3 linked regions of the Cricetulus griseus genome follow. The protein of the gene in region 3 binds, or shares a complex with, the protein of the main gene of each other region. Links are inferred from orthologs where the notes say so. Each region holds a gene or a part of one and is shown on either strand. Other genes may lie near its edges. The genes, in order: Vip, Adcyap1 and Vipr1.

Evidence for each region.
Region 1: the proteins of Vipr1 (region 3) and Vip are in contact, whole or in part, in a cryo-EM structure (PDB 8E3Z), measured with the Homo sapiens proteins. The link is inferred for Cricetulus griseus from reciprocal best matches to the Homo sapiens genes VIPR1 and VIP. Residues at the interface, in NP_004615.2 of Homo sapiens: Glu36, Cys37, Val40, Ile43, Asn69, Phe90, Leu92, Phe93, Tyr118, Ile120, Asp125, Asp126, Asp132, Gln135, Thr136, Tyr139, Val142, Lys143, Tyr146, Tyr150, Arg188, Lys195, Phe200, Ser202, Glu204, Ser205, Gln207, Cys208, Met219, Phe222; in NP_003372.1 of Homo sapiens: His125, Ser126, Asp127, Ala128, Val129, Phe130, Thr131, Asp132, Asn133, Tyr134, Thr135, Arg136, Leu137, Arg138, Lys139, Gln140, Met141, Ala142, Val143, Lys144, Lys145, Tyr146, Leu147, Asn148, Ile150, Leu151, Asn152.
Region 2: the proteins of Vipr1 (region 3) and Adcyap1 are in contact, whole or in part, in a cryo-EM structure (PDB 8E3Y), measured with the Homo sapiens proteins. The link is inferred for Cricetulus griseus from reciprocal best matches to the Homo sapiens genes VIPR1 and ADCYAP1. Residues at the interface, in NP_004615.2 of Homo sapiens: Glu36, Val40, Ile43, Asn69, Leu70, Ile89, Phe90, Phe93, Ile120, Gly123, Leu124, Lys127, Asp132, Gln135, Thr136, Tyr139, Val142, Lys143, Tyr146, Tyr150, Arg188, Val192, Lys195, Phe200, Glu204, Ser205, Cys208, Phe222, Gln223, Val226; in NP_001093203.1 of Homo sapiens: His132, Ser133, Asp134, Gly135, Ile136, Phe137, Thr138, Asp139, Ser140, Tyr141, Ser142, Arg143, Tyr144, Arg145, Lys146, Gln147, Met148, Ala149, Val150, Lys151, Tyr153, Leu154, Ala155, Val157, Leu158.

Annotation. Positions count from the first base shown.
Region 1 is NC_048595.1:283,196,721-283,204,387, forward strand, and holds Vip (VIP peptides), read left to right. Parts: upstream 1-2,567; coding exon 2,568-2,674; intron 2,675-4,512; coding exon 4,513-4,635; intron 4,636-5,445; coding exon 5,446-5,550; intron 5,551-5,897; coding exon 5,898-6,029; intron 6,030-6,810; coding exon 6,811-6,856; downstream 6,857-7,667. UniProt on the Homo sapiens protein: PHM-27 and PHV-42 are two bioactive forms from proteolysis of the same precursor protein, that cause vasodilation. PHM-27 is a potent agonist of the calcitonin receptor CALCR, with similar efficacy as calcitonin.
Region 2 is NC_048595.1:461,365,855-461,373,330, forward strand, and holds Adcyap1 (pituitary adenylate cyclase-activating polypeptide), read right to left. Parts: upstream 4,919-7,476; coding exon 4,809-4,918; intron 2,661-4,808; coding exon 2,529-2,660; intron 2,139-2,528; coding exon 2,040-2,138; intron 996-2,039; coding exon 806-995; downstream 1-805. UniProt on the Homo sapiens protein: PACAP is a neuropeptide involved in diverse array of physiological processes through activating the PACAP subfamily of class B1 G protein-coupled receptors: VIP receptor 1 (VIPR1), VIP receptor 2 (VIPR2), and PACAP type I receptor (ADCYAP1R1).
Region 3 is NC_048597.1:228,642,461-228,650,154, forward strand, and holds the start of Vipr1 (vasoactive intestinal polypeptide receptor 1), read left to right. Parts: upstream 1-2,572; coding exon 2,573-2,650; intron 2,651-7,694. UniProt on the Homo sapiens protein: G protein-coupled receptor activated by the neuropeptides vasoactive intestinal peptide (VIP) and pituitary adenylate cyclase-activating polypeptide (ADCYAP1/PACAP).

The sequences.
Region 1 (7,667 bases), on a different chromosome or scaffold from region 3:
TCTTGTAACTGGATTAGAAAATATGATTAAGCCTAGCAAGACAACTCTCACTGCATCAGTCAGCCTTGAATGCTGCAAGGAGATACTAAAATCATAGAGTAGAAGAAAGTAAAGGAGATTGAGAGCTATATTTCCCCAAGGAAAATACAAAAGGAATGTAATAGAAGGCACACACCAGGACTTTTAAAAGATAGGACATTGTCTTTGTTTTCTGTGACACTCTTAGGATAGCTGCATTTTGACGTTAAGTCCCAATTAAATGTATGTCAGGCTACTTTGGGTGCAAAGTCAAGAAAAAGAAATTAAGCAGTCATCACAGAACTCTACAAAGGTTTCAAACCAGCTGATTTTTTGGAATTACCTTTATGTAAAGTGACAAAGTCAGGGATGTTAAATCCTGAAGTAGGGAGAATTCTGAGGGCAGTGCGAGAAACAAAGGAATTCAACATTACGCAAAGACTTAAAATGAGGAGGATACCTTTGAAGAGAAAGAAAACTTCAATCCCTGGAGTATACAGTCTGATCACTATTTATCCTTGGAACATCTGATATAAGATGTGAAGGAAAGCAGTGGGAATTACAGTGTTTTATACAAAGCATGGGAGAGCGATAATGCCATTGATTAGACAATGATTTGCATACTATACCATCTTAATGTAATGGAGCTTTTTCTGAGGGCTAGCTTCAACATAAAGGAAATGTAATAACAGAAAGATGCAAAATAATTTGTGGTTGCTTTTAAAATTAGAATATTCTTCAAGAAAACATTCTGATGTGCACAAAGATGAAAAGGCATTAAGAGAATTGACACTTTGCAAAAAAAGGAAGGATTATACTGTAAGCATAGCAAATACAAGTGTTTGTTTTCTGCATTTTTTTTCTACAAGCAGTCCTTATTTTCTAAGGAACCCCCAAGGCCTTGGGCTATGGCAGTATAATCACCCTCTAATTCTTGACAACTGAGTAAAGATTAAAGCATTGCACATCCAGCTCGGCACTTTTTGTTTAAAAAAAGTACATTTCCTGTATCTTGAACTTCTTTGCTATAAATGTATATAAATCAGGCATGATGACAATTTAATAAGAACTTCAAGACCTGTTCATCCCATGGGATCACCACTGTGACGTCTTTCGGGCAGCCTTCTGATTGCTCAGCCCTAAGCAAGAGCCCTATAAAATGAGGGACTTTGAAATGCTGGTCAGGTTGGAGTGCAGAGCCCTAGCTGGCAACAGCCACCCATTCCACAGGACCGGGCAGACTGGTGGAGCCTTCTCCCAGCCAGATCTTCAGCACCCTAGACAGCTCCCACTCTCCCCAAAGACAGTCCTGCCTGAAGGGTAAGTAAAATCTTCCGTTTCTTCATTTCCTCTCTGTCTTTGGGACTTTTATAGGAGGGTTTTTTCCTCTCTCTCTTAAAAAGAATTTTACAGTATTCATTTTTTTCAATAGAAAAATGAAATGATAATGATAAGACACTCGATAAAGGTAGAAATACCTCAATTTCTTTCATCTGAACCCATCTGTTTAGAAGATTCTTAGTCCTACCTAACCTTTGTTAAATATTGCCTCTTTTAAAGTGAAGGAAGATGAATTTGCTTGTGTGTGGAGTTTTAACCAAAGGGTTCAGTTGTTGCATTTGTTTTTGAGGTTTTCAACTTATGCTTAAAGTGCTTTTTCATTCTGTTTCTTGTGTTGATTAGACCTGGGAGGAACTCACTTTCTTCATCATTTACATTTTAAAAGCTGTGACTTTTATAGTTATTGAAAGTCAGAATCCTTGAACACCTGTATGCTAGTTAGAAAGTGTTTAGAAATACAATGTGTGAATGTATGGAATGCAAGACTCATAGGCTCTACACACACACACACACACACACACACACACTATTTTCTGAGAAAACTTGTACCAACACCAAATGGCTCTGAGGGCATTAGCTTTCATCCTTGAGTTCATTTTCTTGAGCCTTAGCTTAAAGAAGAAAGTTCTCCATGATATCTATAATGAATGCAGGGAAAAAAAGAATTTAACTATAATATGTATACAAGATTTTTGCCTTAATGATGCATATCTATACTTTATATCCATATATGCACATATGAACATGCAAACTTGCCAATGTAGTTGACTAGAAATCATTGCATGGGTAGCACTCAAGTTTTATAGTAATCAGACATTAAAGTTTAAAGGGGAAAAAATTCCTTGAAGCTCTTTCCTTCACCAGAAAAGACACCAGATTGTATATTACAACTGTGTTATCAAAACACTGGGTCTGTAGTTAGTTATGTGCAGCACAACAGGAGTGTAGTCTCAAACAGACACTAACTGTGACTGAGTGCCTGCTGAGAGAAAGACAAAGGGGATCTTAGTTTGTATTCAAATGTCTTAACTCAAGGGAAATCTTTATTTTTAAAAGTAATCTTACAACAATAAGCTTAATACTTTTCTGAAGATGAAATGGCTTTTTCTCAACTCTGCAAGAGCCTTCAGAAGTATTGATAGACCCTCAGAATGTTGCCAAGTGTAGCTGGGAAAGCCAGTATCCCTTCTCTTTCCAGAGGCACCGAGATGGAAGCCAGAAGCAAGCCCCAGTTCTTGGCATTCTTGATGCTCTTCAGTGTGCTGTTCTCTCAGTCACTGGCCTGGCCTCTCTTTGGACCACCCTCTGCTGTAAGGTAAGTCTCATTCTGAGAAAGTGCACTCTCAATTCAGATAGGCAGGCATTTCCTCTGTATCTAAATGAGATTTCCCACATGTCATTTTGGAGAGTGGTGCATTTTAAATTACATATTATTTTACTTTGATCACCGTGTTACACAGATTCATTTCCAACCAAACTTAAAAGGTTTGTTCTGGGCTCCAGAATTCACCTTCAGTATATGGAAGACAACATCAGCCTTGCCCACCAGATAGACCCCATTTCCAAACTAGTGTTAGAAAACAAACAAATTCCTATGCTTTTTTCAATCTCAGGCCAGTTCTGTTTCTGGTAGAAAAATAGTTGTTTACTTGCCAGCTTCATTTAAATTGATATTTAATAAAAATGACAATAAGATTAATAGTTCATTAATGAGATATGCACACCTGAAATTTTCTTGGGCAGAAATAGGTCCAGGAAGAACCACCTTGCCACTATTAGAGATCATGAGAAAGTATATGAACTAAACTACAGTCCTCATAGTATTCTCTATTCAAACTATGAGTTCTTAGTTTTACTATTTGATATATAGAAGGTCATGCTTCACATTCATAAGGAATGCAACTCAATTTAACCTAAAGAAAAACAGATTTATGTTACTAGTCATTTCATACTTGACATTTCTAATCTACAGAGTCACTGTTATCTAAAGGCAAATCACCATTTGGTTATTTGCTCCATCTTATGCTCAGTATAGTGAATAGTCTCTCAGCTATTAATGTTCTCTGAGAAATTGTAAAACACACTGCCCACGCCCCACCCCCCAATCACGATTTGGAAACTAGAGTCCCAATGCCCAGATCTCAGCAGATGAACAGTCTCAGGAATGCTGAAATTCACACTGACTTCTCAACCCCAGGCTATGAGATGATTGTTTTTTACTATCTGCTTCAGCACCACCCAGAGATACAAAAGTGCCCAAGAGCTGAGATTTACCCTAATTTTGAACACACATATATACTCTCTCTCTCTCTCTCTCTCTCTCTCTCTCTCTCTCTCTCTCTCTCTCTCTCTCACACACACACACACACACACACACACACACACACACACTCTCACACACACATTTTTAATACAGTACTGGTATCAAAAATACAGATGCATCCACAAGTAGTTTATATTCTATATGTCATAAAGGTGATTCTTATTTTGTAGTACAGCATAATACATTTCTAATCAGAATATGCTAACATGTGTAATATGAAGAACTAGAGGGACTCATTAAATTTGCTACATTGTAATAACCACTCACAAATGTGGAGATCTTTAGGTGTGATCAATAAGGAGAAATATATCTTGCTGACATAAAGCTTTGTGGTACATGTCAGGGAACCAGAGAGAGGAAAGCAGCTTATAAGCTACTCCTGGCCTGAATTTGAGCAATTGGTACTAAATATCACCACTTATATGAATAAGTATCAGTTATCATGTTGAATGTTCACTTTTTATATGTTTATATCTTGTATAATGCTTTCTACCTGCTAGTGTTACTTCACAAATGGACATAGTCAGGTATGCTGATGCAATCAATGTGCTTTGCTTACAGCTTCACTAGAATTGAATAAAGTAGAAATTATGTTTGGTTTTAAAAGCTTATCGAAGTTGAATGACATCAATTTTGTGAGCTCACCCAAATTACTACTTATATCTTCATTAAACATGGAAGCTATGGAGTCAAATTATCCTATTCTTATTCTTGCAAATGGATACTATGTCCCAATATCTTCTTCTCCTGTCTCAAATAGTTGCAGGACCATAAACACCACTTTCTAAGAAAGGATGGTATTGCATTTCTAGTGTGTTTTGCCTTAATAGGTTGGATGACAGGGTGCCGTTTGAAGGAGCAAGTGACCCTGATCAAGTGTCATTAAAAGCAGACACTGACATCTTACAGAATGCCCTAGCGGAAAATGACACACCCTATTACGATGTATCCAGGTAAGTTCACTCTTATGTATCTATTTCAGAAACACATGTGAAAAAGATTAAATAGTCTAGTTTTATCTTACCAAGAGACAGTTTTCCATGACTCTGCTCAGCCTGATTGGCATAAATTGCCTTACAGCCTTCAGGCATCATTCAATAGCTCAGATTAGACAAATGCCAGGTCAAACTCCCACAGCTAGGATTCCATGAGTGAACAAATAAAAGGGGTCAAGATATCCAATAGTGCTGTTCACTCATGCAACTTCTTGTCTAGAGCAGTGTCTCAGAACAGACCACAAACGACGTCACACTGAAGGCAAGGTATAAAAGGTTCCTCTTGTGCTTACAAGATTCACTGGTAGACCCAAGGTTTGCTCTGTTGCAAGAGATTTGTTTCCTCATTATTTTTGGTGGCAAAGAATAATTAAAACACAGAATACTGGCGAGTTTGACCAAATTTACATGGTTTTTTTTTCATTGTATATATTTTTATTTAAGGTAGCAGCTTCTAAAACTCCATAAAAATATAGAAACCATAAATGAATTTTAAAGCAAGGTTTACTAGGAAAATTCATTTTAAATATCCTGTCAGGGAATAAAACTGAAGCACATATCTAAAATAGCTCATTTTTTTTCAAGGTAGCTAGAAGCTTATAGTTTATATCTTGCTCCAAGCAACTAGGAACTTCCTTTTGCTATGGTGCTAGACTTCATTTTTGACTTAAGTTTTAGTAAGCATTTCTGTAAGTAGTTTTCAGATTCCTTTGATAACTCTGCAGGAGATTTTACCAAGCAATTATTGTGCTTGCTTCCTTGCTTTAGAAATGCCAGGCATGCTGATGGAGTTTTCACCAGCGACTACAGTAGACTTCTGGGTCAGATTTCTGCCAAAAAATACCTTGAGTCACTCATTGGAAAACGAATCAGGTAAAGAGTACTTATTATTTTTTAATAAATGCTCCATCTCCAAATTCTGTTTTCCTTTCTTGAATGTTATTTTCCTTGCCCAAGGCTGAAACTCTTTGATTACAATCAACTTATTTAGAGAAAATAATGTATGTTATTAAATAAAACACACCAGCCCCCACCCCACTCCCCAGTGAAATAGAGTTTTTGGTACTTATGGACTCTAAATGTATTTTTCTTAAGACGCATATTTACAAATGAGTCAAACTGAGCTAAAATCAGTAAAAAAAAAAAAAAAAAAAGAGCATTGATGCATCTCCTACTTTCTATTGACATCTTTACTTTCATTTTTTCTCACTTTTTTTTAGCAGTAACATCTCGGAAGACCCAGTGCCAATCAAACGACACTCGGATGCAGTCTTCACGGATAACTACACCCGTCTTAGAAAGCAAATGGCTGTAAAGAAATACTTGAATTCCATTCTGAATGGAAAGAGAAGGTAAGGGAAAAGATAACCGGATGAAGTGAAAATATGTAAATGACCTTCAAACTTTAAGCTCTACTTGGAGACATCTCACTTTCTCCATCACATGGTCTACTTTGTGTGAACTGCTCACTCATTCTCGACTCAAACTGATGTCATACTTCCCTGGCAAACCTTTAAAATACGGGCACATGAATGTTAGCCTACAGCCATTAGAAAGCAGTCTCCCTGGGAATACTGACCTGGAAACTCCATTTGAATTTATAAGTCAACAGGGTTGAAAATGATGGCTATTTTGTCATCGGGGGCAGTTTAATCAAATGTTCGCTTTTAAAATATGGAAAGTACAATTAACAATTTTGGCAAGCAGGAGAACCCTATCATATTTGATCCAACAACCCTGCTTTATCACATTTAACCAGGATGTATCTCCTGTTCCAGTTCTAAAAGCATGTGTCTTATAGTGTGTAAATATTGGACACAGTAATAAGGGGTAGAATGCTCTCTCTTCTCATTCCAGTTGTTTTTGTGCGCATGGTATTAAGCATAATTCTGTTCGGGTGAAATCAGACAAGAGTATCCTCTCTGCCCAATAAATGATAATTCCATAAGGCTGATTTGAGACACTAAGGTCTTGGAACAATTCACAGGCAATCATCAGCTGCAGAGATCAATGTTTATCCCCAGTGTGTCTTGCAGAGCCTAGATAATTACATAGGCATGGTGTTATAATTGTTTCTTTGGAACCTTCCTCAGAGAAGAATGTTAACACATTCATTTTCCTTCTGGTCTGTAGCAGTGAGGGAGACTCTCCAGACTTCCCTGAAGAGCTAGAAATATGAAGACTAGGCTCCTCTGAGCAGAGCTGAAGATCAGAGGTGAGTGCGCCTACGGATTCTTATGGTATCCTTACAGCTACCTTGAAGAATAGATGCAGGAAGGAGCCAGTAGGCAAAAACATCCTAAGGCTGAAAGTCCTTCTACCCAGAGATATTATCCAGTCCACATAACACCTCTACTTGAGGCAGATCCCACCCCAGTGAACACCTTGAGGTGACACATGCACCATTCTCATCATGACGAGGACACTGGTCACCATAAGGAGTTTGGCCTCTACAAGGTACTTCTAGTTTAGTCACCTTTCTCCCATGTGTGTGATGGAATGAAAACACACAGGATCCTGACTCACACTCAATGGTAGAGCACTTGCCTGGCCTGCCCCAAAGCCTTGGATTCCAGGCCCAGCACCAAAAGAAATAATATTGTTTCATATGGTGAATATTTCTCTGTCAGATAAAAAACATGACAGACACCAAAATATAAAGGTAGATCCCATTATAAGTAATTTATGAGAGCCCATCATTATTACGGAAGGTGGCTTTGATCAAGTACTGCAGGCCCCCCTGACGGCAGTCGGCTTGTGAAAATTACAAATGCTTCACTATTAATGACTAAGTAGAGAGCATCTTCACCCTCCAGTTCCTTTGTGACAGTCAGTGTTCTGGAAAGTTCTTTCTTGACTCTGTCACACACAATTCTCAGCAGAGACTGTTGATGAGGGGCAACAGGAGACATGGAGGTTTACTAAATGAGTGAATGAAACCAACATGACACACGTTTTTAAATTGTTTCTGTTTAAAGCACTAATTCTTT
Region 2 (7,476 bases), on a different chromosome or scaffold from region 3:
GGTTCCCTGGAGAATCGGGAAGTACAGAAAAGAGATCTTTCTCTCCAAGCCGGTCTCCACTGTACAGTTCCTCAATTCTCATCCCAGGGAATGACTTGAATTCTGGGGAGAAGCACAATTTGGATCTAGTTGTTGTTTAATTAGAATTTCCTCTGGGCTGAGAGTCTGAGGAGAGACAAATACACATAAAATTAGAATCAAAAAAAGCAAAAGTGTTGGAATTGCCCGCAGCCAGTGGGACAATGCCCGCTTGAGTTAGGCTGGGGTTCAAACAGCCTGCCCCAGAGACTCACAGGGAAAGAAAGCCCTTCAGCAATTCCCCCAGTCATTACTTCAGAATTCCCCTGGAGCAGGGTATCATTGTTTTTGTACAGTAGCAAATGGCCATTATTGGTATCTTCAGGCCTGGTGTGGATAAAAATACTATCCTTTAATTCCAGTTTACAAAAATAGGAGTAATATTCAAAACAATGATTGTCTATTTTTTCTATTCATTTTATATAAAAACATAAACAGCTCAGGCGAATTTTCAATCCTTGTGCACGCTTATGAATTGCTCTCTGTTATACTTATATATATTCTTAATATATGTTTATAATATATATCAATAATTGGTCCACAAAGTATATCTGTGCATTCTCTAGTGCTTCGTAAAAAGAAAAACAATATTATTATCAAAATAGTCATTTAATGGCTTTACTTCATACATAAATACATGTTTGGAAAGAACACATGAGCGATGATTGGTCAGTCAATTTGGAAAACGACTTTTCATTTTATACACACCGTAGCTGGCAACTCATCGCTACAAGTAAGCTATTCGGCGTCCTTTGTTTTTAACCCTTTGTTTATACCTTTTCCCTAGCACAGCCGCCAAGTATTTCTTGACCGCCATTTGTTTTCGGTAGCGGCTGTAGCTATCGGTGAAGATGCCGTCCGAGTGGCGTTTGGTAAGGGGAGCCCGGTCGTCCGCTGCGCTGGCGCCTACGTTCTCGCTGCAAGGAGAGGGGGCGGGGAGAGGGGGCGGGGCGGGAGACCCGTTGAGTGAGTGCGAAGGAAACAAGTGTGCCCCACCCCCACGCTGGAGTCCTCAGAACTCCGAACTTCCCGGCGCTGCCCTCCTCTGCCGGCGCCCCAGCTGGCAGGAATACTGTGCTGGAGACCCCGGGGAACCTCCTTCCCACCCACAGTTTCCTGGCACTAGATCTCTCCCATCTTTCTAGGTATTTCTGAAGCATCCCAGGGCGACCGGAGAATACGCGCTCTTTAATCTTTTCTCCAAACGTTTCTTCTCAAGACTGCACTATCCATGCTGCTAGCTAAATTGTCTGGACTTGTACCTTTCCACCACCCGACATACAAAGGTTCCTAAAGGCCTCGCTGGCTTTTGCCAAGTTAACGATTCCCCAAATCTAGGCAAACACGGGCACGCCTCTCTCTATCTTTGCCTATGTTAACTTGAAAAACGTGACAGTGATTTAAGGCGACAAGCTGTAGGCAATATTTTTCACTGCATGAATTATTCATGTTTAAATGTAATCGGCTTCCCTGTGGGCTTTATTTAAATGTTGCCTTCTGCTGACACAAGCTTCATACAAGACCTTAGCCCTGGGTTTGTCTAGCCCGAGCAAAAACTGTTTCTTTGAAGTATCCAATTCGAGGACTTTGTTCCTTAGGTTGGCCTTTATAGAAAACGTAATGCTCCTCCCCCAAATTAGGGCAAACCTCGAGGGTTTTGAATGACTGGGAAGGGGGTTAACTTGCTTAGCTTGGCTTGGTTCTCGGTTCAATTTCCTACCCTCTTTCTCTCTCACCGGGTCTGTGGCTCTTAGGACAAATTTAAACGCCCAACTTTCAGAACTCCGCCCGAGGCTGGTAATAACCACCTAGATGCCCGGACGCAGACACACCCTCAGGCGCTCAGGCGTGCTGGAGTACAGAAACGTAGAAGCTGCCCCGCCCTCCCTACACGCTCTCAGTACCGTCACCCGCCCTGGCGCACACATCACTCGCTGGTTAACTCTGTCACAAACTCTTACCCTACGCCCCTGGCCACGACCGACTGCAGGTACTTCCGGGCGGACAGCTGGTCCAAGACTTTGCGGTAGGCTTCGTTAAGGATCTCATGGGCGACATCTCTAATGGGGGAGACAAAGTATGCGACCTGGGTCACTCACTGCCTCGGCCCTTCAAATGACAGCCAAGGCACCCACCCAACAACCACTAGTGACACAGGACCTGGGAGTTACTTTGGGAAGCCCCTGGGGGGTGAATCTAAGATGGGGTTTATCCTTGACCTCTGGGGTGACCTCGCTGGCCTGAGAGCTCTCACCAATCGAGTTACACACTCACTGACATCTCTCTTGCCACAGAGCTTTCTGCCCGTGGTGCGGCCTCAGGTTAACAGGAATCTGCCTGCTAATTTTCTGTGGCTCTCATGGATTCACCCAGGTAGAAGGGAGGCTTAAGGACTTTCATGAGAAGTGCCCTAGTTTTAGAGCCACTACCGGGTCCCTCCCGCCACGCACCTCCTGTCCGCTGGATAGTAGAGGGCATAGGCGTCACGCAGAGCGGAGGCGGGACTCCCTACGCCCGGAGGGTCCCAGTCATAGAAGTCCTGCAGAGGGTTTCCGTCCTGGTCGTAAGTCTCATCTTCTGGTCTGCGAGATAGCCAGAAGGAGGGTCATTAAAAGTTCTTTCCCAATTCTACCAGGCACCAAGAAGGTCCCATTGATTTTCCTTCTTCGTTATGGCCCCCCACGGAGAATTATCCTTTCTTCCAGAATGGTCCTAGGAACGAGATAAGGGAACTGCACCCAGCATCATTTCCTTCCCCACAAGGAAATTCGCTCACATCTCCTCAGGTCCCCGGCAAGAGGACTAAACAACCTTGTAGACCCCAATACCTGGCCAAGTGAAAGGTCAGCCCTCTCCCCTCCTGGCTCCCCAGGCTTCCCCCAAGAAGCATTTAGAACGCACGGGAAAGATCCTACGAGTTGATATGAGCAGAGACGGGGAGACTCAGAGCGGAATGAAGTGATGGATGGGTAGGTAGGATGCAGGAGGCCAACTCCGGCAGGAGCCACCCCCATCCAAGCCGCCCAGCCCAGGGGAGCCCTTCCCCGCGCGGATGTAGGTCACAGAGAACCTCCAGCTTCTATTTTAGACTGGAGAGAATCTGCTAGGAACATGAATAATAGATGCCCCTAAACTTAGCTAGTTTGGCTCATTCTGTGGTGCGGCAGAGAGCTCCAGTGCCTATCACCCAGGAAAAGTGCTAGGCACAGGGAACTTTGCGAATAGCCAGAGGTGAAAGAGGGCTTTCCAGTCCATTAAACAAAGAGTTCCTGATGATCCGTTAGCAATGGGGGAGGCTGAATTCCATCTCAACCCCAGAGGAAGGAAAGGGGTCGACTGGGAACTGACATTCCGTAGGTGTCCAGCCATCTTACAGTCTCCTCACCTACCGCCTCCATTCCCGACAGAGGACAGGCAGAAGAGGACAAAAATGCAAAGCCGGTGACTTTTGGACCTTGGGGATATGTGGAATGCAATAGGGACAAATAACATTATTCAGGCAGGGTCCAGTCGTACTTGGGCCGCTCTATCACCTTTCAGCCCTCCCTGGAGAAGCCAGAGTCAGATAAGATCCTCCGCACCGCTCACATCCAGGCTCCCCACATACACACACAACCTATGCCCCCAGACCAAGCCCCGACCAAGCCCCAGACCCAGGATCTTTCTAGCCACCCCCTGCTCTTCCCAGCGCCCACGTGCCAGAATCCTGATGAAGAAGCTAGGATTCCTGTCTGCCAACACATCAATGGGCAGACGCCCCCTAGGGCAGAGGTTCTTGGGCGCGGCTGCAAGAGTAAACTCAACGTCAACGCGAGCGCTCCTGGCTGCCCTCAGTGCCGCCCCGCACCCATCGACGCGGAATCACACATTTCCACTGTCCCGCATAAGGGTGGGGGGGTGGTTCTGAGGCTACGGTAGGGAACCCGGGCAGCGCCTCTTCATTAGAAGCAGATGCCAAGATAAAAACTACGTTTTCTGCATCCTCAAGTGGGCTAGGTTGTCCCCCAACCCCTCCAGCCTGCTGGCTTTTTCTCCTTTCTTCACATCCGTTTATTCCCCCTCCCTCGCTCCTTCTTGTGTTTTCCGTCTATCAAGTAGCTTTTCTTTAACCGTGGCTAGCCGAGACCCCCCTCCCCCCGGCCACACACACACACACACACACACACACACACACACACACACAAGACGTCTAGGGCTCAAACTGTAGTCGAAACAGAATTCATTTGGAAGAGAGCTGTTATGGTTGGAAAAGAATTTATATGAGACAACAGGAAGGGCGGAGGAGATAGAGACCCCGCCCCAATAGTCTAGAATAGGCAGTAACAAAGCAAAGTGGAGAGAGCTTCACTCTCAGCCCCGGGCTTTTCTATGGGAGCTGAAGTTCTCCAACTCGTCCTAAGAATAAATAAAAAGAAGCTGAGCGGAGTAAGGGGCACCCTGCCCCCTCCCTTGGGCAAGTTAGACAAGGAAAGGTTTCTACAAGGGTCGGAAACTCACTCCCTTTACCTGGGTTCCTGGGCTCCACTGGTGAGGAAGGAGGGAGTCTAGCTGTACTAGAGCCTTTCTAACCCCCAGGGTTAGCTAGGGACCTGGTACCTAGCCAAAGGCTGTAGAAATGCCCTGGACACACAGGAAGCGATGCTTAGCAGCCTGCGATCCAGAACTGCAGGGAGGCGACCGGGAGGTGTCTGGCGAAGGGAGGATCTAGCTCAGCCTAGACTTGCACCTACCTGATCCCAGGGAAACGGAGTCCGGCTGCGGCAGGTGAGCAGGAGACGCTGCTATGCATTATTATCCCGTAGACCAGCAAGGCCAGCCTTGCTCCGCTACACATGGTCATTCTGCGCAGGAGAAAAAAGAGGGAACGCAGTGAGTGAAATCGCCCCTGGCTTCCCACCTTCTAACCTCAAGAAACTCTAGGGAGCTGGGGGAGCCAGCAAAGCTGCTGCTCCCTGTATTGAACGCCACTTAGCCACGCTAGTGCGTCTGGCCACTTCTCCCTTGGTATAGTTCGGGAAAAAAAAAAAAAAAAAAAAAAAAAAAAAGCTTATGTGTGCCCAGCACTCAGCAACTAGCCAAACCTTGAACTAAAGAAGGCTAACTCGTACACTGATGCTGCTGCCAGCACGGGGAGGGATCCTGTAGTCAATGAATCGGTTAGTATGGTATGGTGAGAGGTTTTCCCCCTCCCTTACTATTAGACTCTTACCGTGGCTAGGCGAGGGTTGGTTGCCAAGTAGGACGGAGGGCAAAGGGCTCCTTCGAGTTTCCGGGCTGGAATCAAAACTCAAGAGGCATCACTCACTGTCTGGCGCTGGTGTCTGGAGAGAAGCCGCGGGAATTAGCTGGAGGAGCTGGGGGGACTTGTTTGCCGAGGCTAAAATTCCACTCAAAACTTTGTAGACGCACAGAACTAGAAGGGAGCGTGACACTGAAGGAGGTGGGCGAGGAGAGAGATGTAGAAGACAGAGTAGGCGAGCAGCCAAAGGGAGGGGGAGCAGAGTGGCCTTAAATCCGCCTGGGGAAAGAAGCTGGTGGGTAAGAAAAAGGGGGGAAGTCCAGGAAGAAGGGAAGATGGAAAAGGAGAGGGCTAGCCCAGGCTGCCTCTGTGGGAGGCGAATCGGGCAGCTAGCAAGAATCCAAGGCACCTTCTCTGCTCCGAGGTCTTAAGCTGCTGCGTCTGAGGATGCGGCTTCTGCTGCTGCTGACAGAGGTGACCGGCCTTCTGCTCGTATTTATATATTCAGTTAACACAAAAAAAGCTATCCGAATATGGTTTCAAGACACCTCTTTGTCAATATATGTCTTCAATTGCCTTCAAGTACAGAATATTTTGATTGCACTGTTGCGCTCCGATTTTTATTCATGATATGACTTCCTTTTTTTTTTTTTTTTCAGTCACGTAATGATCCGGTATCAGTAAAAGACGTCAGCATCCTAGTCCCTCAAGGAACATATTAACTATTCTGTGCTGTCCTCCAGGATGATAAGATCCGGAGTCATCAGCTTCTCATAAACACCTTTCACTCACACAATCCAATTTTTAAGAAGTCCAATTATCTTGATGGTTTTCTATTTCACCCATTTCTCAAAGTCAAGTAAAGAATTCGTGGAATGTAGGGGATAGTGAAGTCCTGTTTTTATTGTGCCTCTTCTTTTTACTTTTTACTCAAGCCCCTTCGAGGACAACACTGATCTTTAATAAACTCTCTCATTAATAAATTTAATTTAGATCTCTTAATTTCTTGCTTATGCTACTACAGCTAGGCAATTAAATGTGGAAGTCGTTTTGTGTTTTAAAGGGAAGTCTTGAAGGATTTTTCAGTAAATATCTAATGAGTCTGGATGTGTTGACTGTCTGTCTCTGAGTGGATTGACCAGACAGACAAGGCTGCCTTGAGAGCAGAGCCTGTGGCGCTGTCCAGGCTCTGAGTGCTGAACTGTTGGGCGCAGATGCTACAAACGTTAAAAATTGCCACTGGCTTAATTTTCACCACAGCCTCTAAATCTGAAGGTTTGGCAGTGGTGCTCTTACTGTGGCAATTCATTGTCGAAATCACCCCGCTGTTCAGATCCATCTCCCCTTGCATCCTGTGTCCACAAATGCCCCAGTGTTCAGAACCTTCTTAATCCTTGCCTTAGATTTCAACGCAGAGCTTTTTCTTCTTAGTCCTGGTAGTTGAATATCTACCTTCCTTGTTTGCACTCTTTGACAGTCTTTGTGGCTCTTACTGATTTTAAAAATTGAAGCCATGGCATCGTGTTTTCTGCAATAATTGAAATTTAAGAATGTGAGAGTGAGAAATGTGTCTTACACTTCTCTTACAAGTTGAATTCTGTTTATGGAAATACAGGCTGGGAATGCAGGAGGATTCCTAGCACAGGTTATCCTGGTGAAGGTTACTACCAGGAACTGTTCCCTGGGAATAGTTAATATTTTTAACTAAAACTAAAATGAGAAGAATGCAATAAGGAAAAACCACATCCACCGGGAAACTTCTGAGCCCCTGCATAAGATTCATAAATTTCTGGTCCACTAAGAGACCTTGAGTGTCTTTCTTTTTAAAAGGAAATAGAAGCATCAGTAACAATTAGTGTATATTTTAACTATTTGGATCTATACACACACAAAAATAGAGGAAATTACAATTAAGTGGGAGTGCTTCCTGTTACTGTTATTTGGGGCTAGTGCTTAAATAAGCTGTTAGTTCTGCATACTTTTTCAGAAGCATAGTGTTTTAATGCTATTCCCACTTTCTGAGATTTAATTCTTCCTCCAAGAATCAAACCTTTCCTTATTTCCTTGCTATGAATGATCCAAAGCTGTCTGTTTCCTCTTAGTTTCCTTCTAGCTTTAGAATGACTACTTTCAACAAACTACTTCTACATGGGGGACAT
Region 3 (7,694 bases):
CCTAGATTAATGAAGCAAAGGCAAACAATAAGTACAGGGACTCAAGAAGGATCTCAAGACATGGTGGGGAAGGTGACTACACCCACTGCCATAGGTGCCATCTCCTCAGGCTCAGGTGCCTGCCCCCTCAGCCTCAGGAAGCCCACCTGCCTCCACCCCAGCTTCTGACATTTCTTCCCTCCTGAAGCCTTTCCTATTGCCTAGGTAAACAACAGGTGTCCTCTTCAGATTCCACAGGGCTCCCCAAGAGTAGGCTCATGGTTGATCTCCCAGTGTCTCAGGACACAGGGTTTGGGAGCCAGGAGTAGCCTAAGTTGAGTTATTAAGGCCCTGGTTTTTGTTTGTTTGTTTGCTGTTTTCCTGATCTTTTAATTTCTGAATGTGTCTTGTGTCCTACAATGGTAAGGAAGGATGGATTTCTCGAGGAAGAATACAGAACGAACCAAGAGTGGCTTTCATGGCAAGAGAATTGGAAGGAGCCGCCTTCCTCTCCTGGGGGTTGGGCTGGGAAGACACCAGGCCTGCAACCCCCAGCCTCAGAGGGATCAGTGTGGTCAGGGCAGCCTTCCACCCACCTAGTGAGGGTCACAGGGCAAAATGGGAGTCTAGCTCCCTCCCACCCTCCAGTCCCCACTCCCCTCCGTGTTCCCTAAAGCCCCCCTCCCAAGATCCTTGTGCAGAGAGAGCAAGTAAATGCTAACAGTCCCTTACGGTGAAATAGTGCAACATTTTGCAGGCTGGCCTGAAACCCGCTGCAATCCTTTTCCCTTGGCCCCCAGAGATCTGGGGTCACAGGCATGTGCCACCACGCCGCATTTGCTGATGGGGTCTCAGCATTCTGCAGCTGCCTAGGTGACATGTGGGTGTGGGCAGAGTCGAGAGCCAAAGCCCATGGGTTTAACGTAAGACCCCACTGCCTAAGGCCTGAGAGGACAGCACCGAGGGCCACAAGGAGAGGCAAACCATGGGTCCTGAGCTCACGGTGGCTCCCGAAGTCCTGTCCCGATGCTGACACATTGGAGGGCAACTACTGAACAGCTCCCTCCTCTGACATCCCCACCTCTGGAGAAAGGCCTGTGTCCAGTTAGCCCAATCTCTATAAGGAAGTAGAAACGGCAGGGAGCGCCCCCGGTATCCATTTACCTCCATGCCCTGATGTGTGTAGGAGGCCTGGCTGAGAATCCGAGACTAATAAAGTTCGGGGCAGAGAGAGCAAGGAAGGTGCGGTGCACTGATGTAGGGGATGAGGTGGGGGGGGGGTAGAAAGCTCCACCCAGCCAACAGAAATGGAGGAAGGCCAGGGGTCGCTTCCAGACTTTTCTGTAACCGTCCTCAAGGCCACGCCCACAGCCCTAGTTTCCCACGTTGCAGGTTGGGAAGGCCAGAGAGTCCTCGGGGAGATTCCCGCGCCCCTGCTGGCCAGAAAGCGCCTGGAGACGGACCTCCTCCAGAGGATCGCACACTGCACTGGCGCGCAGGGACACGAGGCTCTCTCCGTGTCTGCACCGCACCCGGGCCCTCCTCCCTCCTTCTGTCCCGTCGCGCCGTCAGCCCCCCACATCACCTTCTCACTGGGACCGCCCGAGCTCTCGGAAAGACGGGGCAGGCATCTGCCCTGGTTCCCTAATAAGTGGCGCGCAGAGAGCTCTGAGCGGGTGACTCCGCGCCCCACGCCAGCGCACAGTAAACCGAGTCCCAAAGACAAGCGTAGGAGGCAGCGCAGTCCCGGCTGGCCGGCCGGCGCGATCTTGGAGCCGCAGCGCGGGGCACCGCTCCCTGCTCCTGGTTCCTGGGGACCTCAGACTCTGGGAGGAAGGGTCTGCGGGCAGCCCGGGCCCGCGAACAGGTACAGCTTCGGTCCCCGCGCCGTGGCGCTGGCGCGTTGACTCCGCGTCCCTCGCAAGCTGCGCGGGCCGAGACGCGTCCATCTCTGAGTGCGCCCTGCGAAGGCCCTAGAGCGGCCTGGAGGAACCCCGGGTCAGGGCTCCCGGCTCCGGCTGCGCTCCCCTCGGCTTCTCCCCGGCCACAGACGGCTCCGGCAGCGCGATCCGCGGGACCCCGTTGGAACCCAGTCTGGAGCCCCGGAAAGCGGCGGACCCTTCTGGTCCAGCAATCTGGGCTGCGCGCGGCGTGGGAACCAAGGAGGCGGCCGCTCCTCTCCACCCACCCGGTCCCCGTCCCCCTGGAGCGGACGGCCGGAGGGGCGCGCTGCCGGGGACCGAGGGCCGGGGGCGCGGCCTGGGCGGGGAGAGCAGGTGCGGGCGCGGGAACGCCGAGCGGTGCGGAGCCGCTAGGACGACGCCAGCTGAGGCTCCCGACGACGCACACCGCTAGCGGACTCCGCGCTCACGCCCCCGGGCGCCCAGGCTCCGCCCCCTACCTGCGCCGAGGCCCCGCCTCCGCCGCGCCATTGGGCGACCCCGCTGCCCGTCAGACGAGCCCCCGCCGCCCTCTCCAGGCCGGAGCTGCGCCTCTCAGCGCGGGGGCCGCCGGCCCGCGCCTCTCTGCCGAGCTGCAGCAGCCGCAGACCCCGCAACCGCGGCGGCCGCCTGCGGCGGGCTCAGGGCGGACCATGCGCCCTTCGAGCGCACCGCCTGCCCGCTGGCTCTGCCTGCTGGCAGGAGCCCTCGCCTGCGCCCTGGGACCCGCGGTGAGTGTGCGCCCCTCCACCCGGATCCCCGGAATGAGGGAGCTGCGGGGGCGGAGGATCTGGGGCCATCTGGCCATCGGGGGGCAGCAGGAGCGCGGTTCTCATCTTCTCTCTCCACCCGGGACCGAGTCTAGCCCAGAGGCGTGGGAGCTCGATGGCACCGGGTCCCTCCCAGCACAGCCTAGAGGGCTCACCTCGGGGCGATCTCAGGCAGCGGTGGAGAGGTTGAGGGCGAGAGGGAGCCCCAGCCTGGCGTTGCGAGGAGTATCTGTGGGGGTGCGTGGGGAGGAGAGCTGGGGGTGGCAGGACCTGGTGAGATGGGAGATCCGGTAGACTGTGAGGTGGAAAGGAGGCTGTGAGGGTCTGCAAGCGTCTCTGGGCATTATGTGAACTTGTGGGATATGAAGACCTCCGCTAGCAGCAGATGCAGCGTTCATGCCTGTGGCCTGGGAAGGGGTCGTTGGTATCTTATGGGTGACAGGACTGTCCCCTGTGCTCTGCCTCCTCTAACTATAGGATGGTGGGCAGAGAAAGGTCAGAGTTGGTGGCAGGGACTGGCATGTGCTGGGGAAAGCAGGGGCCCTTGCTCTGCCTCCGACCTCTTCTTCCTCGCACACCGGTATGTGTGTGGGTGTGATCCTGTGGCTGTGGATGGATCGCCAGGCCTGTGGGGCAGATGCGGCTGGGTGGCCTTCTCTGAGAGTAAGGAGGATCTCAAGACTAGGTCTGCCCATTTTACAGAAGGGCAAATGAGGCCACAGGAGCCACACCTGTCCTCGCCAGCCGTACTTGGGTAGAGGTGATCGTCTTCCTCCCTTTGCTCCTGGCCTGTGGGTCTGCTGCTTCAAGACAGTCTTTTCCCAGGTGTTTTCTGGTGGAAACAGCAGGCTGTCTGGAGGAGGGCGGGGAATCTTGGTCACCTAGTGGGTTCTCTCCACGGTTACCTCCCCTTATCATCGCCTGCGCCAGAGCAGGAATTGGGAGGTGAATCTGTGTCCACCTAGCTGGTGTCTGGCACACCCTCACCTGGGAGGGCTCATCCTCTGGTGAAGGTGCAGCCCTCTGAGAACTGCCCCCTCCTCTAGTTCAGAGTCCCACCTCCTCACACTCCACACTCCGTCTAACTCTGTCTCTTCACGTCACAGTCTTCAGGCCACATAGCAGCAACTCTCCAGCTCTCCCAACTCCGGGTCCCAGCTACTCAGGTTCATTTTGGGGTCTTTGCACAACTGGAGGTCTCCAGGTGCCCTCCATCTGGACATAGCTTGAGCCCAGCCCCTCCAATCCCTTCTTCTTGTCTTCCCGGGTCTTATTCATTCAGCACCACTTCTGGTTTCCTCTTCCTGACTGCTTCAGATCTCCCACTCTGACCCCATCCTTCCGTTCCACTACCCGTCCCGTCTGAGCTGCTCTGCCCCTCATGTGGAGTCAGACTTACTGTCTGCTTGGTCCAGTTCAGGGCCCGGCCCACAAAAGAAGGGGAAGGGACTCCGCCTGGCCTGGAGGAGGGTCCCTGTTCTTGCCTTGCCATCCTTACTTGCTCCCTCCTGGAACGGACACCCAGTGTTCCTGCTCCAGCCGGACTTGGGGGGGACATGTTATCAGAGCCATAAAATGGCAGCTGCAGAGTTCACATTGAAGGCACAGAGCCTTATCGCTCTGTTTATGGGGCCCTGCCTTGGCCTGGGAAGGGAAATCTTTGAACAGGGAAGCCAAAAAAAAAAAAAAAAAAAAAAAAAAAAAAAAGGAAAGGAAAAAGAAAAGAAACCCTCTGGTGCCCGGTGTCCCAGAGAAGGAAGTAAAGTATGTCCCAAGGTCTCCCGTAGCTCCTGTCCCCCAGGGCAGCAGACAGATGCACAGTGCCAAGCTGGTGGGGACACTCAGACTAGAGACAGTCTGAGGTCCTTAAGAGTTTCCGCTGCAGGAGCACAGCACAGCCAGTGACTTCGAATGGATGTGGGGCACAGCCTCTAAGAACTGAGGGACGGGGCTGCTGTGACAGCAGACAGACAGACAGACAGACAGACAGACAGACAGACAGACCCCCTTGGAAGAAAAATGAAGTTTGGCTACATTGGCCAACCCTCAACTGTAAACTGTGAAAACAGCCTTTGCTAGCCTGGCCCCAGAAGGTGGAGAGAAGCCCAGTCCCTGGGTCCCCTTAGAACCTGGATGGCTGGGATGAAGGGCAAGGCTGGCTCCTCTGAGTATCCCCAGACAGGTGGAAGTCCTGCTTCTGAGGGTCACACCTCACTGGAGGAGTCCTTCCTGGCCACTACTATGAACCTTTCCAGGGTCCTCTCACTACTGCCCAGGCCTCTGGCCTCAGCAGACCTCACTGAACTTTAGGAAATATGGTGGCTACTGGGCCAGGCTACTTTCTGGACTAGAGACAACCTTAGTTATTCCTGTTCAGGACTCCCAGGGCCTCCCTGAAAGACAGAAGCCTCTAGAGGTTTATGCCTCCCCCTCCTAGACTCTGGAGGCCTAGCCTCCTCTGAGGCTTCTGCAGCTTGCATTGGGGTCACAGCTTAGGACTGGAGCCTTAAACCCTGTCCTACCCCACAGCCATGCCTAGTTGGCTTGGAAAACATCTCTAACCTCTATAGAAGAACCTGTTTTCCCCATTTCTGACTGGATGAGAGAACCCTGGGCCCAGTGTGAAGGAGAATTGGGAGGGCAGAGCTAGCCCCACTTTCTACTCTGAACCCTAGGTCCCACACGAGGCAGGGCTGGGTGTCCAGACAGCCCTGTGTGAACCCTGAAGGAAGAAAAGGTAGTGAGTTGTTGTGTGACCCACATGACAGGTCATCCCTGCTCCTTGATCCTTGAGCTTGGACCTTTATCCAGCCAGGGCAGGCAAGATCCATGGAGTGGGCGGGGTGTTCTCATGAGGTGTCTTAATGAGGTGACAGGGCCTCTTAGAGGAGGCCGGGCAGTAGTTGGCAGGACACATCCCAGTGAGGGAAGCCTTGATGGCAATTCGATTTGTGTTATTATACCAGAGCAGATCTTCTACCCGGGCACTGTCCTGCCATTACCAACCCCTTCACTGTGGCTGCTTGGGCACAGGTGAGGGTTGAAGGCTGGGGGCTAATGTGAGCTGTGGCCTTTTCTCAGCGTCTCACACTTTGCCTTCCCATTTGGATTCCCAACATTGTATGCAGGAGAGCCTCAATGCATAGCAAAATCTCTCCTGCTTCTCAGCAGTGCTTTGAAGAAAAGTTCAACGTTTCCACCACATGAATAGGTTTCTTTACTGTAAAAATGTTTCAAACATAAACAAGTAGAAAGAATATTATGATAAAGCTGTGAGTGGTGGCTCGTGCCTGTAATTCCAGCACTCAGGAGGCTGAGTTCAAGACCAGCCTGGGCCCCTCGATGAGAACTCGCATCAGGTCAATAAACAAGTAAGCATAGCACAATAAGGGACTGGAGAAATGGCTCTGTGGCTAAGAACAACACACTGCTCTGCAGAGCACACTCACAACCACCCATAACTCCAGTCCCAGGGCATCCAGTACCCTCTTGTGGCCTCCTTGTTTAGGTGTGTGATAGACATACAAATTCTAAGATACATACACATACACATAAAAAATAAAAAATCTTCATAAAAGGATAATATGATGAACATACAAATATTCCCTAGGTTTGACATCGGGTAACTTCAATGTTTAATTTTTACATCACCTGTTTATTTTGGCTAAAGTGTATTTAAGTCAATTAGAGGAATATTGGCCACTAGCCCTGGTTCCAAAGGCATCTCTAAAATCAAAGGCCATTTTCCTGTACGACACTCTGGTCCCTCCTCAGAGGACGGGCATGCTTACCTTCCCTCGTATCCAATGTTGAAATATTCTCCAACCACGCCGAAGCACCACAAAGTGAGCAGTGACATTCTCACAGGGCTGTCTTATTGCCGGGGCTCTTCTGTCTGACTGATGGGGTCAGACGGCCAGCTGGCAGGCATTTGAGGTGAGAGTGAGGTGCCTTGGCAGTGAGCATTGGGCAGCTTCCCCAGGCAGGACCGCCCTCTGTGCATTCTGTCTTGTGTGGTTCAAGGCACTAAGATCTGCATCTCTCAGGAAGCACACCTCTTCCTAGTCACCTCCAAAACAAGTTCTTCCTGCATGACAGGGCGTTGGAGGAGGGGAAGAGTCCACAGGCTGGCATCTGTAAGTTAAAGACTTGCAGCCTTGGGCTCCTTGGATGGTTGGTGTTCAGTGTTCCGCAGTTGGTACTAGTACTAGCAGCACCCACAGATCCTGGGTCCTCTTCCTCAGGGTGTCCAGGACAACAGGGGGGTTAAATTGAATATGTACCCTGTGAAAGGCTCCCTGCCCCCAGAGGAAACTTCCCAGCAAGTGCCCCAAGATCGAGCAGGCTGGGTGTCTCCACTGAGAGTCCAGCAACTATGAGATCTCTTGAAAGCTCTCTCTCTCTCTCTCTCTCTCTCTCTCTCTCTCTCTGTGTGTGTGTGTGTGTGTGCACATGCATGTGTGCACTAGAGTGTGTATGCATGCATGTTTGTGTGCCTGTGTGTCTGTGTGTGTGTGTGTGAAAGAGAGAGAGAGAGAGAGAGAGAGAGAGAGAGAGAGAGAAAGAGAGAAGGAGAGAGAGAAGGAGAAAGAGAGAGAAGGAGAGAGAGGAAGAGAGAGAGAATGAGAGAGAGAGAGGAGAGAGAGAGAGAGAGAGAGAGAGAGAGAGAGAGAGAGAGAGAGAGAGAGAGAGAGAGAGAGAGAGTTTAAAATGAGCTGGGCTGGGCTGGGCATGGTCACACACACACTTGCATTCTCGGCACTCAGGAGGCTGAGGCAGGAGGATTGCCAGGAGTATGGCTTCCAGTTTGGGGCAATTGTAAATAAGTGGCCATATACATTCACAAAGAAGTGAATATATTTTGTTTTCTTGGGTAAATGCCTAGGCTAGCTAGCCAGATTTGTGTTCCACTATATGTGGCTTTTACATGGGTGCTGAGGATCCAAACTCAGGTCCTCATGCCTGTACAGCAGATACTTCACAGATGGGGGCATCTCTACAACCC